3 linked regions of the Neurospora crassa OR74A genome follow. The protein of the gene in region 3 interacts with the protein of the main gene of each other region in a pairwise test. Links are inferred from orthologs where the notes say so. Each region holds a gene or a part of one and is shown on either strand. Other genes may lie near its edges.

Region 1 (6,417 bases), on a different chromosome or scaffold from region 3:
GGCGGCCAGAGATGGAGGAGATGTTGACTACGAGCGTGGTGGTGCGGAAGGTGGAGGAAAGGGAGTAGCCTTGGGAATAAAGAGAAGTGGCGGAGAGGTAGGTGGTTGTTGTGTAGATTGAGAGGTGGATTAGGAGGAGAGAGAGGAAGAGGAGGGTGTAAGAGGGAGACAAGAAGAAGGGGGTTAGGGAGGGGTGGATTGTGCTGCTGGGTTTTGTTGTTGTTGTTGTTGTTGTTGTCATCAAGGAGGGGTTTGCTGATGCTGATGATGATGAGGGGCCGCTGGCAGCCATGGACGTGGTAGAATCAGCAGAGCCGGGTGGTGATGACTTCTTCCTCTTCCCCGGCGAAGATAAAGTAGGGGATGTCGGTACCGAAGGGGCAGGTGACCTCACAGAAGGAGGAGAGCGGATCAAGAAGTTGGCGATGACGGCCAGGAAGAAGCAGATGAGTCCCAAGGTACGGATAGTCCATGGCCAACTGACCTCGTGGAAGAGGTTTCGAGTGGCATAAGGGAAGACGATGCCGGCCGTGGGACCGGCGGTGGTGGCAAGGCTGGTCGCAAAAGTGTAGTATCGCGGAGAGCGGCCGAAGAATTGGTGGATGGTAACGAGAGAGGGGATGAAGAGGAAGGTGGACGTTAGGCCGGAAAGGATGCCGAAGGCAAGGAGAATGGCCCATGTTTCTGTTTTTTTTTTACCATCGTTAGTGCCATGTCACTTTTACTGTCCTGTCCATGATTCCCGTCTTTTCAGCCCTCACTTCATAGTTTTTCTTCTCATCAAGGTGATTTGCGACTCGTCCTCTCACACCTCCCACACCTCTTGAATGTTCCCTAACCCCCAGCAACAGGGGAAAAAATGAAAGAAAGAATTGGACTCACCACTCCTGCAAGCCAGCACCACCGTTCCCACCCCCAAAAACACGGTCCCGCTCAAGACCATATACCGCGCCCCAAACCGGTCTGACAACGGGCCCACGTACATCCCCAAACCCAAACTAACCACGAAGTAGAGAGAGAAAACCCAAGCGAAGGTGCCGTCGCTGATGCTCGCCACTTGCTCGTTTTCCCCCGACAGATAGCTCTGGCATATCGACAACACAGTCAAAAGCCCAAAGGCTGCGAAAATGGCCAGCCAGGCGCCGAAGACAGTGAGCCAGGATCGGAGGGCGTATTTTCCCGTCATGAGGGTATCGTCTTCTACGAGGTTGGGGTCTTCGTGGTGATGGCGAGAAGGGGGATTCACACGGGGGGTCAGAGGGGTGAGGGAGTCGATGGAGGAGGATTGGTGGTGGTGATTTTCGGCTGATGGTCGGCTGCTGCTTGCGTTACTGCTGCTAGGTTCAGGGTCATCGTGGCCATCTAAGAGTGGGACGACTTGGGCCTTTCGCGAGGCGGCGGTTTCTGGCATTTTGGGTGTGATGTCTTTTAGGGTCGGGTCTGTGGTGCTGTTGCCTCTGGAAATGGAGGCTGTTGGTGGCGGTTCTGTGATCGGCACTGATTTCGAGTTGTTGGGTGAGGTCTGTTCGAGATCCAATGTCAACTCTGGGGTCTTGCTGTCCGCGCCTGGCGGGCGATGAGGGAAGGGACTGTTGGTCATGGATTCGGTGATGAGTGGAACTGAATGTTTCCTCGACAAGGACGAAAGGGAAAAGAAAACAAGAACGTCTTGTAAGGACGTCCCTATGTCGAGTTCACAGACTCGAGGGGGACAACCAAATGCTGAAACACTTTAAACAGAAACGAAACGGGAAATGGTTGTTACCTGTCACAGCACGATAGAACGAGATCAAACACGGCTGTTTTGTTTGCTCTATGGTCTAGAATAGTACGTAGGCAGCTATGAAGAAAAATCTCCACAATATCGCGCCGCTGACGAGGGGAACGTGGTGATCGGCAAAGAAAGGAAGAAAAAAAAAAGGGTCCAGAGCTTGTATGCGCCCACTTTGGATACTCCCGTTGGTTTGAAGATAAAGAATGACTGATGTAAGAACGTGGGCACATGTGGGCTCGACCCGTTGTCAGTGGACAATGGCTCCCTTGGGAACCCCTGCAAATTGGTTCCCGGACTGTGAACCTAAGGCCTTGTTTGGACAAATCACTAGTGAAACGGAGTCAAAGTCTCTACACTACGTAGGGGTGCAAATCACTGCTAGGGATGAGGTGCTTAGACAGCCACAATATCAACCAACTCCTCTTGCACTTGCAGACACTGGCAGTTTGAACGATGTAACGATTAGTCCTGTCATTGTTACTCCGGGAGGGGTTCCCAAGTCACATCCGTGTCACCAACCGTCACCAACTTTGAGATTATGTATGTACTCCCGTTGGCGACCCAGGGGCACTTTGGAGTTTGGACAGATGCCAACGGACCCCTTCCCGTCATCTTCCGCATCTTGACAAATGATGCTTGGAGTGAACCCTTGCCGAGCTCCACGCTCGCTTGCGGGGATGAAAGCTAACCACTCCGCTGCGTAACTAAGCCTTCGGCGAGGCAGTGTTCCTCACCTGGCTCCGTCTGTTGGAGCGATGCTGCAAATTGGCATTGATAGTGTATGTCGAATAGCCTTCAGGCTGATTTCTGATGTCGAAGGACCCTAGCGTAGCGGCAGGGAATCGTAAAACACGAGGTTGAAGAATCTCTGCGCCCACGCTTCAATAGCAACGGCGCTAGGGCTTGCCGAATGGCGGGAACCGTAATGTGCAGCAGGAAGCGCGGTATGACTGATTCCCGTCGCTGGCGATGTCCCAATTTACCCTTGTGGTGTCTTTTTGTTGTGGGCCTGTCGTGATGGGTCAACGGTTTCTTTTTCTCCACGGTAAGCCGTTTGCTGGGCTGTCCGAGGCAATTGGCCCTGTCCATTCCCTTTTCCGGCTCCAAACCCAACGAGCTGTTTTACGCTGAGCATGACATCCACGCCGGTGACTCTGAGAAGCATGTGCTGCATCGGCTATTGATATCAACGCAGTGCGGCCAAGCAAATATATTGGCCGCGGCTCTCGAATGCCAAGGCGGAGCTCATTCCATCAGCCTGGTTAGCCCCAAGGTTCTCGGCAGTCGTTGTCGCATCGCCAAGGCCGTCGCCAAGTTTGATATGACAGCAGCGGGACCAGGCCTGCTCACAAGGTGGCTTGGAAAACACGGGCCGAAGCGCTTGCTTTGAGATGTAATGTAGGTGTGGTGTCGATTGATGAACCATAAGGTCCCAGACTCCTATTCGCCGCCTAAAAGGGTTCGATGCGGCCTCTAGTCTTCTTCTTCCGCCTCTTCCATGGTAACTCCACGTGGGCCGGCGCTCTTCTCGACTTGCAGCCCATGAGCCGACTGTTCTGCCGGCTGGGAGGTCTTTAGGTAACCGGCCCTCTCGAGTTCGTCGGCTTCTTCTGGTTCCATGAGACCACCTTTGCCCTTGCCCTTTTCCAGCTTCAGACGGACATTGGTCGGTACGAATGCGCTCACGGCCTCCTTTCTAAGATCGCGGACCATAGGCTTGGCTTCGTACACAGTCTTGACCTCAACCACGGGTGCCTTTGGCTTCTCCATCTTCTGGTCTTCTTGTTGCTGCTGATGTCCTCTGCCTTGGCCGAGTGGCTCGTGGTTCGCGTTTGCCGCCCGCTTTGCCCTGCGCTTGGCATACCATTCGTCTAGGACGTCCTTGGGGATAGGCGGGGGAGTGTCGCGCGGCATCGGGATCCTCTTGACATCTTCGGGCACGTCGCTATCGCTAGACTCTTCGTCTTCCCGTCGCCGCTTTCCGAGGGCTCCATCGCGTCGCGGACCGTGGCCAAAGGTGGGCGCTTTGTCGCCTAGTGCCTCTCTGGCCTTCTTGACGGCTTTGAGATCCTTTTCGAGGGCCTCGAGGACCTGCTCTTGATGGGAGGAGAGCTTGCCGTCCGTTTCCTTGATCTTTTTTAGGTCGTCGATCTGCTGCTGGATCTTTTCGGGATTTCGTTTCGCGAGCTGTTCATTTCGCCTTGCCTGCTGCTGCGCCTTGCCTGTGCAATGTGAGGTTATTGTTAGTATATATATCGCTTGCGGGTAGGATCCGAATGTCGCCTTGTCTTCCTTCTTCCACTTGCCCTTTTTGATTTCCTTTGCCTTGTCAGCTTTGCGCTGGGCTTGGACTGGGTTGTAGTTTTTCTCCTTGGGCATTGTCGGTGTTGCTTATCTCAATTCGATGGGTAGAGTAGGTTCTTGATGGTGTAGTTGGTACTACTATCTCGACAGTGGTGATGGCGCAGACAAAAAAAAAAAAAAAAAAAAAAAAAAAAAAAAAAAAAAACATGGACAAACAAAGGACGGATCGTGGCACCGCAATTTAAATGGATGGAGCTTTCTGGAGCGGAATGACGCGTTGGAATAGTGCACAGCTCAGCTCTGCCAAGAACATTTCCGTTCACAGCGCGGCGGTCCAAGGAGTCGCGATTGCCAATCTGCCTGGTCTGTCTGGCAGCCCCTTCCGCCCCCCCCCCCCTTCTGACCCCGCGATTTGGGGCCATTGGGGGGCCATTGGGGAGCCATTGGGGAGCCATTGACACCCAAAGGGCCACTGTCCGTACTCCGTACCGTACCGCACCCACTGACACCTGCACCCAATTCCTGTCCCTGACTCTTAGGTGGCATCGGTGAATGGCTGCCCGTTGCCGGGGCTTTTGCTGCGACTGCCCATCCCGCTTGGTTGTTGATATTCAACCTGAAGTTGCCCCGCCTTTTTTCCCGTGGACGTCTTGCTAGGTCCAGGTGCTTCCCGCTCCTGCCCAACTCAGTCGCCAGGGAGAACTTGTCTCAGCAAAGGTTCGGTTGCTGCACTTGCCCGTCGCTGTTCGTGAAGGAGGAATTGCATGATTTAATTTTCGGTTTCCCGCTGGCGACCAGGATTCGTTTCTGTCCTCTGACAACAAAAAGAACAGGAACCTCTTGACGGCAGTTGTGTGTCCCTTTTTTTGCAACACCACGGACAACGGCACAGCGACGAGCTCACTCCCTCCCACCAAAAGTCAACAACTGAACAGTCAACACAGACCAACAGCATTGTACACAGTACCTCTACTTCTACAACTTACCTACCTACCAAGACTATCAACCCCCCCGGGCGCCATTCGAGTATCGCGGCCGCCCCATCCATCTCAGCTTGTTTTCAGCTGCCTCTTGCAGTCCCGTCTCCATAGCTATCCACCTGGGATCTGTCTTGTTGCATCTGACAGCTCGGCACTCTAATCTCCCATTTATCCTCCTGCATCACTCATCCAAGCTTTCCCACCGCGGCCCTGCTTCGCTTGTCTAGCCTTGCAGCCGCGCGGACAGTACAGATAAAGGAGACGAGACGAACTCGGGCACACCGACTGACTCCCGCCTCGCCGCTATCCATCCCCACGGTGTTCCCCTGCCCTGTACCGCTACTGCAGGTGGAGGCTGAGATCGCCCAAGCAAGTCAGCCCTACCTTGCTCCGTTTGGACTTTGGATCCGTGCCCGCCAGGAGCACATCTCTCAACACCACCTCAGGAGTACTCTCCCCTTCTACGTGGTGCTATCTGGCATAGCTGTCAGTCATGTCTAGCTACTTGACAAACTTCTTCCCTAGCGGCGGGAAGCAGGATGGTACCAGGCCCCAGACCCCCATGAGGCCGGGCACCTCGAGCTTCGTCAACCCCGTCAGCACACCTCAGGGGAGTCCCAGCAAGAGGACCCTTCCGCCTGGCGCCAATGAGCTGCCTGCCGCCTTCGAGTCTATGAAGCTTTCAACGCCCACCAAGCTCGCGACGTCATCCAGGCCCGGCACCTCATCCAAACTCGGGACCCCAAGTGCCCTCGACAGTCCCATCAAGCTCGGCCGTCCCCAGAGTGTGGTCACGCCTCTCTCGCCTGGAAAGAGCAACCTCAAAGACGTGGGCGACGATACCTTTGAGGACCTCACAGGCAATGGCAGTGCTGTTAGTGTCGTCCACAAGCAGGTGGACAAGAACTTGCCGAAGCCTTACCCTGTGCCCACTTCCAGGAGAAAGGAAAGGGATCAGAACCAGGAGAACACACCACCAGTCGTAACCCGCGATCCCCGCGACCCCCGCGACCCTGCCACTGAGCCAACATACCAGCGCAGCCATGCTGCCCTCTCCCGACAGGAACTTTACCAGGCAAGAGAGCGCGCCTCACCCACGGTCAAGAGATTTAACACGTCGAGGGGCCTCACTCCCGAGGAGCGCGAGCTGCTAAACAAACCCAATGTCAAGCGACTGGTCAACGTGACCCAGCTGTGTAAGGATCATGTCATCATGTTGCTCTTTGCTGGTGCTAATTGTTGATAGACTTCCTTGACTACTACTTTGACCTGCTCACCTATGTCGGACAACGACAAAACCGTCTGAATGCCTTCAAGGCCGAGTTCCCGCCACCACCCGAGACCGACGAGGAGACGTAC
Region 2 (6,289 bases), on a different chromosome or scaffold from region 3:
CAGTGAAGCCCGCTTTGGCTTTCCTGTAACATACAAACGAACAAACCAGGGCTGAGTAGTATATTTCTAGAAGGACGAGTGCGTCGGGCAGGCAAGCAGGACTTTACAGACTGTCTCAATCGTTGAGAAGGGCGAGCGAGAAAATTTGGCTGGATTCAGTTGGTAATAATCTCCCAGTTTGGATGCGGAATGGGTACTTTTCATAATAGTTTGGGGAATCTTCTTAACGTTGAAAGATGCACATTTCTTGGTGACATCGACATGTGCCATGAAAGAGACGCCACTTTCTAAGCTGTGATCACGAAACTTGGGACACCAAAATGATGGCCAGTTGTGGCTGTGATGATAACTGGGAGAGTTCACCCTCATAACTCAAAGAAAGGAGGTGGTTTCTCAAAGCGAAAAGAAAGAAAAGAATTAGGCCTGGACAAATGGTGTCCTGCTGTCGGGCACACTAGGGTAGCCATTGGAGACTGGAAACACGAAGATCGAAACAAGGGGAGGATGTGGGAAAAGAACAGAGAAGGAAAGAGAAAAGAAAAAGGCATCAAGCATTGCGGGCAATGTCATCACGTAAGCTGGCCGATGTCCGGGGCTGCCATTGAGGGCTAGTAAGTCAATGACTGTACTATTGAACTAAGGACGCGACCACTTAAGACGAACCTCACCAAGGTAGCAATTGGAGCTACCCCACTTTTCAGCTGTGATTCATCGAACCATGACTCCTCCAACTCTCATCAAGGTATAAAACCTCGACACCGCAACAAAAGATCCAAAAATCGATATTGCTATCAAAGATACGAGCCATCAGTCCCACCTCACTCACTCTCTCACCATCTCATCCGGAGACAGCGGCACCTCCCGCACCAAAACATCCAAGATGGCCCAGCCCATCACCCTCACCTACCTAACCGTCGACGTCTTCACCTCCACCCGCTACCTAGGCAACCCCCTAGCCGTAGTCCTCACCCCCGCCTCTTTTCGTTCTCATCTCACCCAAGACGTCAAACAGCTCATCGCCCGCGAATTCAACTTCTCCGAGACCGTCTTTCTGCACACGCTCGACGACGAAGCGCGCGATGGCTTGACTTCCACCAGTCGGGAAATCGACATCTTCACCATCGAGGAAGAACTTCCCTTTGCCGGACATCCCACTGTCGGAACGGCGTACCTCGTGCTAAACCATTTGGGGTGGAAGCATGTGGACACGCTTGTTACCAAGGCCGGACCGATTACGATCAGACCGACGTCCGAAGGAAGGGTGAAGGCTACGATTCCGCATGCTGTGCGTATTCATAAGCAGACGTTGGGCGGGATTCTGGATGGAAAGGGAGGGGAGGTGAAGAAGGAGACAAGGGAGATGATTGAGGCTGCGCTGTCCGAGGACCCAGAGATAAGACAAGCGGAGTTAAATGGCCCGGTAGTTAGTATCGTGCGGGGAATGACGTTTTTGTTGGTAAAACTGCCGAGTTTGGAACATTTGGCGAAGGTGTCGACGGCGAAAAGGCTGGATTTTAGTAAGGTGGAGGGGTTGTTGGATAAGGGGGAGTGGGAGCGCGGGTTTGTGTCCAGGTATTATTATGTGCCGATGGAGAGGGAGAAAGAGAGTGAAAATGGGAGGAAGGAGTTCAAGTTTAGGACGAGGATGGTGGAGTTGGGATTTGAAGATCCGGCGACGGGTAGTGCGGCGTGTACGCTGGCGAGCTATTTGACGGTTAGTGGGAGGGAGATGGGAGGGGCGAGGTTTGAGTTGACGCAGGGCGTGGAGATGGGGAGGCAGAGTGAGATTGAGGTGGAGACGACGGCGGTGGAGGGGGAGAATGGGGAGGCGAAGGTGAAGGATTTGTATCTGGGAGGGACGGCGGTGGTGGTTACGAAGGGAAGTATCTATGTGTAGTGGATTTGCTATTGAGTTGAATGTGATGCTGTCTACATTGTAGATGTTGTGAGAAGTGGCATGGTGTTGAGTCGAAAATGACGAGTAAAAGATACATTGCCAAAGTACCTCCCAAACGTCCATAGTCATTTATGCAACATGATTGGTCACTTACCGTAGTATGCGGCTCGGTGTGGCTCAAGCTTGGCAGATGGTTCTCTGCCTGCCGCCAAACCTCCAAGTACCTCTAGCGTCGTCCAGCTCCAGGCCGTCGCCTGCCTGCTGTCTGTGCTAGCTGGCTGGCCGTGGCGCGTTGCAACAAAAAAGTTGGAGGACGACATTGACATCGCGACTTGAACCAAACAACCCATTTTACAGATTTTGCATTGCAGTCATATTATCAAGATGCTTTGCGCCCGTATGTCACAGCTCTAATCTACCGTTGCGCGACGCTGTGCTAACCGATTGACGCAGTATCCGGAGAGGTTCCCGAGGAGCCTGTTGTCTCGAGAAAGACCGGTACGCGCACTCTTCGTCATTGTTGTCACCATCACCGAGATCCCACCATTCCCACCGCTTCTGTTCCCACCAAGCCACACCAGATGCTTCCACGACAGGCCGAAATGCGATGCCATACTAACACATCCCAGGCGCCGTCTTCGAGAAGCGATTGATCGAAAAGTACATCCAAGAGAACCACAAAGAACCCGGCACCGATGAAGAGCTAGACGTCGAAGACCTCCTCCCCATCAAGACAAATCGGATCGTCCGCCCCCGCCCCCCGCAATTCACATCCCTCCCATCCATGCTCAAGGCCTTCCAAGACGAGTGGGACGCCCTGGTACTAGAGTCATACAACACGAGGCAACAACTGGCGAGGACAAGGGAGGAATTGGCCACGGCGCTCTACCAGAACGATGCCGCCGTTCGCGTGATTGCTCGCTTGACCAAGGAGCGTGATGAGGCCCGCGAGGCCCTTTCCAGACTCACAGTTACGGCTTCTGCTGGCGGTGCCGCAACTGGTGACGCTATGGCGGTAGACAGCGAGGGTCTGCCCGAGGCGTTGGCTGCACATGTTGATGAGGTTCAGGCCGAGTACGTTTACCGCGCTCCGTCATCTCGAAAAGTTGAATGCTGACAATTCACCGATCTACAGAAAGCAAAAGGGCCGCAAGAAGCGACCAGTCCCCGAAGGCTGGGCCACCACAGAAGACATTTCCGCTCTGCAACAAACCGCCTACACAGATCTCCCCGTCACACAAGCGACCTCGCTCGCTCTCAACGGTGGTTATGCGGCGGTTGGTGGATTGGACGGCAAGGTGGATCTCTACTCGGTTGAGGCCAAGGCACACGAACGCTCTTTGGAGGTTGGCGAGCCGGTGACTGCTACGGTGTGGATCGGCAACAAGGTCGTCTCGGCCACTTCGAAGGGCAGTGTCAAGGCTGTTGAGGGCGGTGTCGAGACTGGTTCTGTTACGGAGCACGCCGGTGCCGTGACGGGCTTGGCGGTGCACCCTGGCGAGCAGATTCTTGCTTCTGTGGGCGTGGATAAGGGCATCATCTTTTACGATTTGCAGTCGCTGCAGCGTGTAGCGCGTGTCTATACTGACGCTGGTATGTACCCTTTCACCACCCGCCTCACAGTCTCAAGTTACTAATATGAACAAACAGAACTCACATCCTGCGCCTTCCACCCCGACGGCCACCTCTTCGCCGCCGGCACGCAATCCGGCCAGATCGAGATCTTCGACACCAAGACTCTCCAGCGCATGGCCAACTTCACCCTCGGCGCCCCCGTCAAGACCCTCGTCTTCTCCGAAAACGGCTTCTGGTTCGCCGCTACGGGCGTCGGCCAGTCCTCTGTCACCATCTTCGACCTGCGCAAGGAAGGCGACGCCGCGCGGGCCAAGGAGCTCCAAACCGGTGACGTCTCCGGCCTTGCCTGGGATTACACGGGTCAGTACCTCGCCACTGCCGGATCGCAGGGCGTTACGGTGCAGCAGTATGTCAAGGCTAGCAAGTCGTGGACGGAGCCGTTGAGGACAAGCACGCCGGCTGTGGCGGTGCAGTGGGGAGACAAGGCGAGGCAGTTGGTGGCTGTCAGCAAAGAGGGCGTAGTTTCGGTGTTGGAGCCGAAGAGCGAGTAGGATCGCATTGGAAAATACGAAAAGTCGGACTCGGAGACGGTCTAGGTGGGGTTGGCTTTGGAAGACCAAAGAAGATTAAAGTGATGGGCTAGAGGAGCGAAAGGGGAGATCGGGGTTTATTGGTAGGCGTTAGCTCCTGATGAGAGGGCTCAATACCGGTCTGCCCAGTATGACGCAAAACATAAAGAGCTTATAAAGTAATTCATTGGTTTATCTGGACTCGAGCGTGAAAAAGATATTTGATGAACAGGTCTAGTGTAGACTTGAGCGGCGGGAGCATGTTGTTTTAAAGAGCATATCTGTCTTGAAGTCTTCACTTCTGATGATACCGAAGCAAAACGGGGAAATTCTGCGGTGATACTGTTGTATGGCTTCACCTCCGTATTTCGTGATCTCAACTTTGGCAGTGCCTGCGTTCCAACAGCTTCCATATCACGGTCCATCATCAGACCCTGAAAGAGCTCACGACGAGAACAGGGGATAGTGCAACCTGATAGGCTGACAGCTGTTTGTTCCTGAATGCCCGAATCGGGATGCAGGTAAGGTAGTGTACAATTGGACCCCTATGTCTGACTGTTAAGGATGCAGCGTTGTAACAGGCTCTTCTTGCCCGCAGTACTGCTAAGGTACTAACAGAGGCACATTAAGCATGGTCAACGTCAAGTCACCATAGGAACTTGTGAAAGACACCAACCGAGGTGTTGATGAATGACCTTGTGCTTCAGTTTTAGAAAACAAGCACAACGAACGACTTCCCCCGTGCCGGTTACCTAGGTACCGTAGAAACTCGGTTAGTTTGTAAAAAGAAAAGGCCTTCCCCCTTTGAGCGCCCGACAGCCGTGCAAGCACAGGAAGCCGCATACCTCTACTTCTGTACACATATGTCTGCTTAGTTAGTGAAGGCTCTACCGTACTGCCCAACACTAAGGTACCTACCTATCTTGCCTACACGGCATTCCGAAGCACAGGCTCAGACTCGAGTGTTACAGATCTGCCAGCACCCTGCCTGTTATCCAGGGGCAGGTTTTCCAGGCATTAGATAGCTTTTTGTCAACTTCCCTCAACCATTCTTATGAGAAGTTTGGCAGGAAGTCTTGGTGGTAACTTTTTTTTTTCTTTCTTTTTCCCTCCAGTGTCTCAAAATATCAAAGCCTCAGTTCCTTCCTTTGTTGACCGAGTCTCTTCGTCTATCACGGTGATGGTTGGCTCTCATCTTTTAATTTCTATCCGCTCACCCAAAAAAAAAAAAAAAAAAAAAAAAAAAACCGCTTGAAACCACAACACGCTATTCGCTCATTTGCTGACCAAGCTGACCAAGCTGCGTTTGCCACCACCCCTCGAGGCTGCAGACATTCAGCTAGCTCTCCTTCAACCCTGACCTTGTTGTGCCTGATCACCGTCCAGCATACCTAGGGACGAATTGGGCGTTGAGATCTGTTCCCAAACCAGATTCACTTCAATACGTGCACTTGTTGAATCAGCTGGGCGGTTCGGCTTCATCCCGGTCGTTCATCACCAGCGGCAAGGGGGACCACACTGGTGTTGGCCCGGAAGCTCGAGCGAGGTCAGTCTGTGCAGTGCTGCTCTCCACAGTCTTCCAATCGAGTTGGGGAAATGCGCGGAGGCGACTATCAGTGAACAAGCAATTTCACCCACCGAACACCGACACTGGCACCGCGACTTTGCAGTGGAATCAACCTCCTTCCGCCCCCCTCCATTTCCCTCCCGTCATTATGGACGCGGCGGACGACTGGTTTGATGACGAGGGCGGATTTTTGTACCAGGTCGAGCAATTAGTCGCTGAGGGCGAAGGGCAATTCGAGGACCATTACGAAGACCATCTGGCCATCGACAACGACAGCAGTGACATTGACATTGACCTGAGTCTCGACAACAGCGAAGACGATCACGGCGAAGTTTCTGAATTGGACTGGGATTACAACTTGGACGACAACAACAACAACAACATTGATCTAGACCTTGACGACGAAGAAGGAGCAGAAGAAGAGGAGGAGAATCACTACAACGTTGGCGGCGGTTCGCTGTCGCCCCGCCATCGACGGAGCCCACATTCCCCACAGTCTCCGTCATCTAGCGAATCTAGCCTGGTCGACGCCGACCCTGGATTTGACATCGACCTCGACCTTCCCTACGATTTTGACCACGACTTCGACCTTGACATTCCCGGCTTTCACGACTACTCCGACAACAGCGACAACAGCCTCGAACTTGACAGCAGCGGCTTCCCTTCCTCAGACACAGAACA
Region 3 (6,446 bases):
ATTTAGGTTGCCCTGGTTTCCGTTTCTCCCCTTGCGTTTAGACAACTCCAGAATCAAGACCTTTTCATTGTCACCTCTTCCAGCCTTCTTCCAGGCTCGCTCCTTGCAAAATCCGGGCATCGAAGTAAGGGACAGCTCGCTCGGACGGCCTTTCAGTAGACCTTTCAGACCTGCCCGTTAGATTCCCCTATACACTCCATCTTCTAACCACCTCCAACTACCCTAATCAAGATGAAGATGCTCATCTCCACCGAATTTTCGGCTATCGAGCCTTTTCTCTCCCTCTTTCGTCCCCGCTCGTTCCCTCTCCTCCTCGTCCTCTTAGCTTTTGCCTCCACCCTTCTTCCCCTGGCTTCAGCACAGCTCGACAAGTACGCCAAACTCGCCGGCCTCTCCTATTTCGGCACAGCCGTCGACAACCCTCGTCTATACAATGAGCAGTACATGTCTGTGCTTCAGGGGTCTGGCGAGTTTGGCTCGCTGACACCCATCAATGCACAGAAATGGAAGAAGACCGAGGAGGTCCAAGGAGTATTCACCTTTGCGGAAGCGGATGCTATAGCGAATACGGCGAAAGCTGGGGTGGGAGGAATGAAGACGCTGAGGTGTCATACCATGGTGTGGTATAAGGGGTTGCCTTCTTGGGGTATGTCCTCTTATGTGTGCAGAGGAGTGGAGCGAGGAACAAATGGAAACTGACGAGAGAGAATAATGCCTTAGTTGAGACGACGTACTCCCGCGACGACATGGAAAAGATCCTCGCCGCACACATCCAGAATCTGGCACAGTACTTCAAGGGGAGGTGTTATGCTTGGGATGTGGTGAATGAAGCCATCGACGAGAACGGAGTGTTTAGACAGAGTCCAAGTACGTCTTTCCATGCTGGCCTTCATGCTCTTTCAATCCCGCCCATACCTTGGTTATTTTAAGCTGACATCCCGCAAGTGTACAAAGCCATGGGCCTCGACTTCATCACTTTCTCCTTCAAGACCGCCGCCAAAGCCGACCCCGGCGCCAAGCTCTACTATAACGACTACGCCCTGGAATCACCGTCCCTCTCCCCGGGCCCCAAAATTTCTATTACTCTCGCCATGCTCCGCACCGTCAAGGCCCAAGGCGGCACCGTCCACGGCGTCGGCTTCCAATCCCACCTCAAAGTCGGCCTTGTCCCTGCGCGTGCCGAGATTGTCAATACAATGCAGCAGTTCCTGGAGGTGGTGGATGAGGTGGCCATCACGGAGCTAGATATTCGACACAGCCCGCTGAAGGTGCCGAGCACAAGGGAAATGTGGAACGCGCAGGCAAGGGATTATGGAGAGGTGGTGGGCGCTTGCTTGGATGTCAACAAGGGGTATGGAGGGAGGAAATGCGTGGGGGTGACTTTGTGGGATTTCACCGACAAGTATTCGTGGGTGCCGAGCGAGATCCCCACAGAGGGGGAGGCGTGCATGTGGGATAACAATTATGTTAAGAAGCCGGCGTATTGGACGGTGTTGAATATGTTCAAGGCGTATGCGGCGGGCGCGTCGAGGAGGCGGGCGGGGATGGATGGAGTGGATGATGGAAATGGGACGGTATCGGAACTGGACTTGGAGGCGGCAGCACATCGCGGGCCTGAGGGTCTTCCTGGGCTTGGAAGGGAACAAACGACGAAGACGGTTGTAGCGACTACGCTGGCGACGGCGAGGAGGGTTAGGTCGACTGCTAGGCCAGGGGCGTGAAGAATGGTGGATGATGGTGACAATGAAACCAGTGATGGTTGACGTGTGATGGCGGCCGACGGATGACTTGACGAGGTGTGCCACGAAAGGCCTGATGCCAATTTGGCTTTTCTTGTATATGATTCTTGATGAGTACCTTACCTATCTGCTTCCATTCTCTCACATGTTTAGTGTGCAAACGCCCCGTTAAATACATGGAACCTGGTTGTTCCTGGAAACCCGCGGCGTGATATGAAGATGGGAACTCCTGAGCGCTATGCTGACGAACAATTTTGGGTATATACCATCTAGTTGAGACGGCCACTTACTCACTCTCTTATCTCTCCTCCTTTGCCTCATCCTCCTTCGACGCCTCCCCGCCAGCCGCAGCACCACCGCCCAGCTGACTCTGCAGCCCCTTCTTATCAACAACCATAGCCCTCTGCAGCTCCCTCTCCTCCTCCCTGAGCCTCGCCCGTTCAACGGCTAACCTCTTTTCTTGTCTTCTCTTTTCCTCTTCTACCCTCCTCTCCCTCTCTTCCAACGCTTTCTCTCTCTTCTTCCTCTCCTCTCTAGCTTTCCTCAGTACCTCATCCTCCGCTTCTTCCGCAGCGCTTTGGGCCTCTGGAGGTGAGGCAAGACCCTGGATGTAACCCTCGATGAATTCGTCGCGCGTTTTCGCATCGAGCGAGATGTACCGGATGTCTGCCAAGATTTGGCTCGGGAGGCTGGCTGCTGAGGACCGGTTGTTCAGCTGCCGGAGCTGTACACTCTCAAGCAACTTCTTCAGGTCACTCTTGAGTTGTGTGTGCGGTAGCTTCAGTCTGTTGATATGCTCCCTGTACAGCTTTTCTCTTTCCTTGTCGTTGAAGCTCCTGTGATGCGCCGAATCCTTCATCACATCTTCCTTTCGATATTTCCTCTTGAACTCAGCCCAATATAGCTTTGGCGTGGCATGTTCTTGTAGAAAGGCCAGGTATGGTATCCTTGGGTCCTTCTTCTCTTCCTTTGCCCTCGCTTCTTTCAGGGCTTGGATAGCCTCGCGGGACCACTCATCGTAAACTTCCCTGCGCTCGCGCATGGATGAGAGGGCAGTGTACCGCGGGTCGGAGAAGACACCCGTCTTGTCGCCTTCGTCGATCAGCTTTTGAAAAGGGGAGTAGGGGTTAATGCGGAAGTCGGCGAGGAGGTCGCGGAAGAGGAGGCGGGCGTCGGCGTCAGAAAGGGGCTCGACGTTTTCTGCTTGTGCTGCAAAATCGTATTCTTGGTCAATATCCATACCATCGCCTTCCATCATGGCCAGCTGAGCGGCAAAGTCGTCTTCTGTAAACTCGATCGGCCCTTGGTTTTCGTCTTCGGTACGCTGGTGCTGGGAGGGGTGTTCGGCGTCGTTGTGGTCTGCGCCTTCGTCATCGGTGACTTCTACTTCTTCGTATTCTGAACTGTCGTAGTCGTGCGTCTCTTCTAGGCCCTGTTGCCCCGAACCCAGATTCTTCCCCTCCGCCTTTTCCTCCTCCTTATCATGGCTCTTGTATCTCGGATCCTCCTCGAGCGGTGGCTCCCCAGCGGCCTTCCTCCTGATCCTTTCTTTATCCAACTCGATCACTGCTGGCAGGATCTTCTCCGGAATCCGCCAGTAACTCGCATTCTTTACCGGATTGAAAGCAAACCTTCTCCCATATTTTGTGTATACCAGGAACCACGGCTCGCAGCCGAGGATGGCGATCTTGGCTTTTGGCTTGTCGACGGGCTGTGGTCGGGGCCTTTGCTGTTGCTGGCTACCGCCCCTACCCCCTGCTCCAAAACCCCCTCGCCCGCCTTGGTGTTGAGGCTGGGACTGCTGGGAATACTGCGCCATAAGGGCATTGGCAACGCGTGGATCGGAGAGGTTTATCGCGGGAACGGCTTGGTGTTGGAGGTAGCTCATGGAGGGGTTCGCTGGCGCCGCGGCGAGCGGATGGGCGCCGGGGACTGGCGAAGCGGACGGAGGACCGAACGGAGAAGCGGCGGCGGGAGGAGTGGGAGTCGGAGTAACGCCGGGGCGCTTGTAGGTTGACTCCTTGGTTGAGGCATTGTAGTAGTATGTGTGCCCGGTAGGCGCTTTGTGTTCGGTCCAGCCTGGTGGCAGGGGAGGAAGAGCACCAGGAGAGGGTTTGTATGTTGATTTCAGCATCGCGGTCCAGTGTATGTTGCGGTGGGTGTGGTTTGGGTGGAAGTGGTAGGTATCGATAGGTGCCTAGCTGGAGACACGGAAGATGGAAAGATGGAAAGATGGAAAGATGGAAATCGAATCGAATCGCAAAACGAAAGTCCCGTCGCTCGTCGCAATTGAACTTCTTCCACTTGGAGCTGCAACTGCAAGTGCTGCCCGGTGGAGACCGCCGGTGGAGAATGCGATTCGCGTCACGGTGCAGGGATCAGCAGTGCTGCGGCAGCCCCCCCGGCAAGTTGACACAGGCGCAGCAATTGAGGCACCGGGGAAGGGTTAGGGGTCGTCTGGCAAATCGTCGACACTCGTTTGAACCTCATCGCCAACTTGTTTTGTTTTTGTTCCAGTCCGTTTCAATTGGGGAATAAGTACGGCATATATCACCCAAGGAGCTGTCATCACTGTCCGATTGGAACAAGAAATCTAGCGCACTGGCTACCTCTCCAGTGTCATCAAGCTCCATGTTGGACAGTCCCTCTGCGAGAAACGAGTCCCGCTCTGCTTCTTCCTCTTCAACGTGTAGCTCATCTGCCATTGACTTAGCTCTTTTAACCATTTCGTTGATGCTGGAACTGGCTTTCATCGGGTGCTCAAGTGAGGTCTTAGGGGGGTTCTCAGGAGGCGGTCTCCCCCCGACCTTCAACATAACCCCATCGACAACCATCTTCCCATCCCAGTCTCTTACGAGCCTCTTCATCTCTTCCTCATTATGTAGACTCACCCAGCCATGTGTCTTCAGCGGCCCCGACCTAGCCGGGGGACAGACCGCTACGGCTTTTGGTTCCGCAAAGTTCCTCGTTACGAAATTGAACAACCGGGCTGGTCTGCCAAGGGACTCTGGCAGGTGCGCTGTTCCGTCCTTGTCATCTGTCGGCACCGGTACAATTTTCACTGTCCAAGGGAACTTGGATGCCGGTCTTGGCACCCATTCCCACAGTTTTCTGTTCCCATGCTCCTCCCACGTAAACCTTTTGACCACCAAACCTCCTGCCTCTGGCGCCCTCGCCAGAAGCGCAAGCATTGTTCCCAGTGTGCGCACAGCGTCCATACCAGCCGAGTGATGCCTCGCTCGGGGCTGTATCCCATGGTTACGCCTGAAGTTGAGAGCCAACATGGCATCCCGCAACGAGATCTTGCGATGCGTCTTGTGCGCTACCCTTCTACCTTCCCATCTCGCATCCGCAAGACCGGTATGCGAGACATCGCACCAGTGTGTGACATGGTCATCCAACAAAGGGAAAACAGATTTGACGGCGCGGTGCTCAAGCTCCATGTCGAATCCCACGAGGATGGTATGGGCCGTGGGGTCCTGAAGGCGGATGGACTGCAGTACGGAGACAATGGTGGACTGGAGGTGGGTGATGGGGTGGTGGACCACCTCGCCGTAGTGGAAATGCTCGTAGGACCGGGCACGCTCACGGCCAAGGACGGCAAAGCAGTAAGACTGCAGACGGTAGTGAGAAGCGATGGTGTCGAGGTCGATTTGCCCTTGGTGGTGGTCTGGAAAGGGCCATGGCCACGAGCCATCCGCGGATGCCGGGGAGAGGGAGAAGACGGGTGGCAGGATGGAGATGCCCACGGAGGTGATACCCTGCGCTATCCCCTCGATACCCTCCACATCGATGCCAATGCAGTAAGAGTGAGGCACCAGGGAGCGCAGATGATTGAGGGTGGTGATCTTGGTGGTGGATGACAAGTCTGAAGGTTCTGTTGGGTTATCGAGACATGTCGTGGAACATGAAGACGGCGTGCAAGAGTCGAACGATGGCGCACGGTGCCGTGTGCATGTGCGAAGTGGCGCTTGTGCACGGGATGGGGGGCCGGCGTCTAATTCGGAAAGAAAAAGCGAACCAAGTGACATCTGCGCCTTTTTGGTGGGTGTTGATTGTGCCGCTAACGGTGGCCGAACTCGGGATACCAGTCGACTGGCGGCGGTTGATCGATTCAATCAGACGGCGGGGTGAACTGATGAGGCGTTGGTGAGGGTGTTCCCTTGGCAGGACGTTGAGCGTGGGTTCTGATTGAGTCCGTGGATGGAGAGACACATAGCAAGTGTGAGGTAGCTAAATAGGTCTGTACACAATGAAAGGTTGCAAGATGTCGAACCACCTAAGCCAAAAGTGTGATCAAGGGAAGTGAAAGCTCAGCCGAATATCTGAAAACGATGAAGAAATGTGAATGGGTTGGGTGTACCTATCTACCTACCTACCTAGGTAAGCTGATGGTTGAAACAGGTAGAGGTAGACACCCCGCGGCCTGGACAAATTATAGGGCCCACTGCGCCAAGGGCGGGTGATTCCTGGATGACCCGATCCTGCCGTTTTAGCCTACTACATACACTACTGCACTAACAATTTCGGACCCCACCCAACTTGAGATTCGAACCAAACACCAACTTCCATGGCATCCACGTCGCTGCACCAGCTTCGTTCCATTCTTACTACTACTACCTCTACACAGTAGCTCCCACCAAACACACGACACGGCATCTACCTGACTGGACGAATTCTGCCGCTTGTCGGCCGTGGCAGCCCGAT

The links.
Region 1: the proteins of NCU17058 (region 3) and NCU09070 interact in a two-hybrid assay, tested with the Schizosaccharomyces pombe proteins (2 studies listed by BioGRID). The link is inferred for Neurospora crassa OR74A from reciprocal best matches to the Schizosaccharomyces pombe genes dre4 and saf1.
Region 2: the proteins of NCU17058 (region 3) and NCU11357 interact in binary tests that used the Schizosaccharomyces pombe proteins (3 or more experiments, as listed by UniProt). The link is inferred for Neurospora crassa OR74A from reciprocal best matches to the Schizosaccharomyces pombe genes dre4 and prp19.

What each region holds. Positions count from the first base shown.
Region 1 is NC_026501.1:748,288-754,704, forward strand, and holds NCU09070 (hypothetical protein), read right to left. Parts: upstream 4,241-6,417; 5' UTR 4,154-4,240; coding exon 4,081-4,153; intron 3,997-4,080; coding exon 3,248-3,996; 3' UTR 1,977-3,247; downstream 1-1,976. Other genes in the region: NCU09069 (hypothetical protein), read right to left, coding at 1-684, 883-1,600; dbf2 (AGC/NDR protein kinase), read left to right, coding at 5,552-6,254, 6,305-6,417.
Region 2 is NC_026503.1:539,698-545,986, forward strand, and holds NCU11357 (cell cycle control protein), read left to right. Parts: upstream 1-2,153; 5' UTR 2,154-2,281; coding exon 2,282-2,294; intron 2,295-2,350; coding exon 2,351-2,395; intron 2,396-2,526; coding exon 2,527-2,971; intron 2,972-3,032; coding exon 3,033-3,490; intron 3,491-3,547; coding exon 3,548-4,023; 3' UTR 4,024-4,313; downstream 4,314-6,289. Other genes in the region: NCU11356 (phenazine biosynthesis PhzC/PhzF protein), read left to right, coding at 881-1,897; NCU05697 (hypothetical protein), read left to right, coding at 5,757-6,289. UniProt on the Schizosaccharomyces pombe protein: Probable ubiquitin-protein ligase involved in pre-mRNA splicing. May also function in DNA repair.
Region 3 is NC_026506.1:42,350-48,795, reverse strand, and holds NCU17058 (FF domain-containing protein), read right to left. Parts: upstream 4,196-6,446; 5' UTR 3,874-4,195; coding exon 2,038-3,873; 3' UTR 1,828-2,037; downstream 1-1,827. Other genes in the region: gh10-4 (endo-beta-1,4-D-xylanase), read left to right, coding at 232-646, 721-867, 946-1,721; NCU17057 (hypothetical protein), read right to left, coding at 4,226-5,770. UniProt on the Schizosaccharomyces pombe protein: Component of the spliceosome involved in mRNA processing.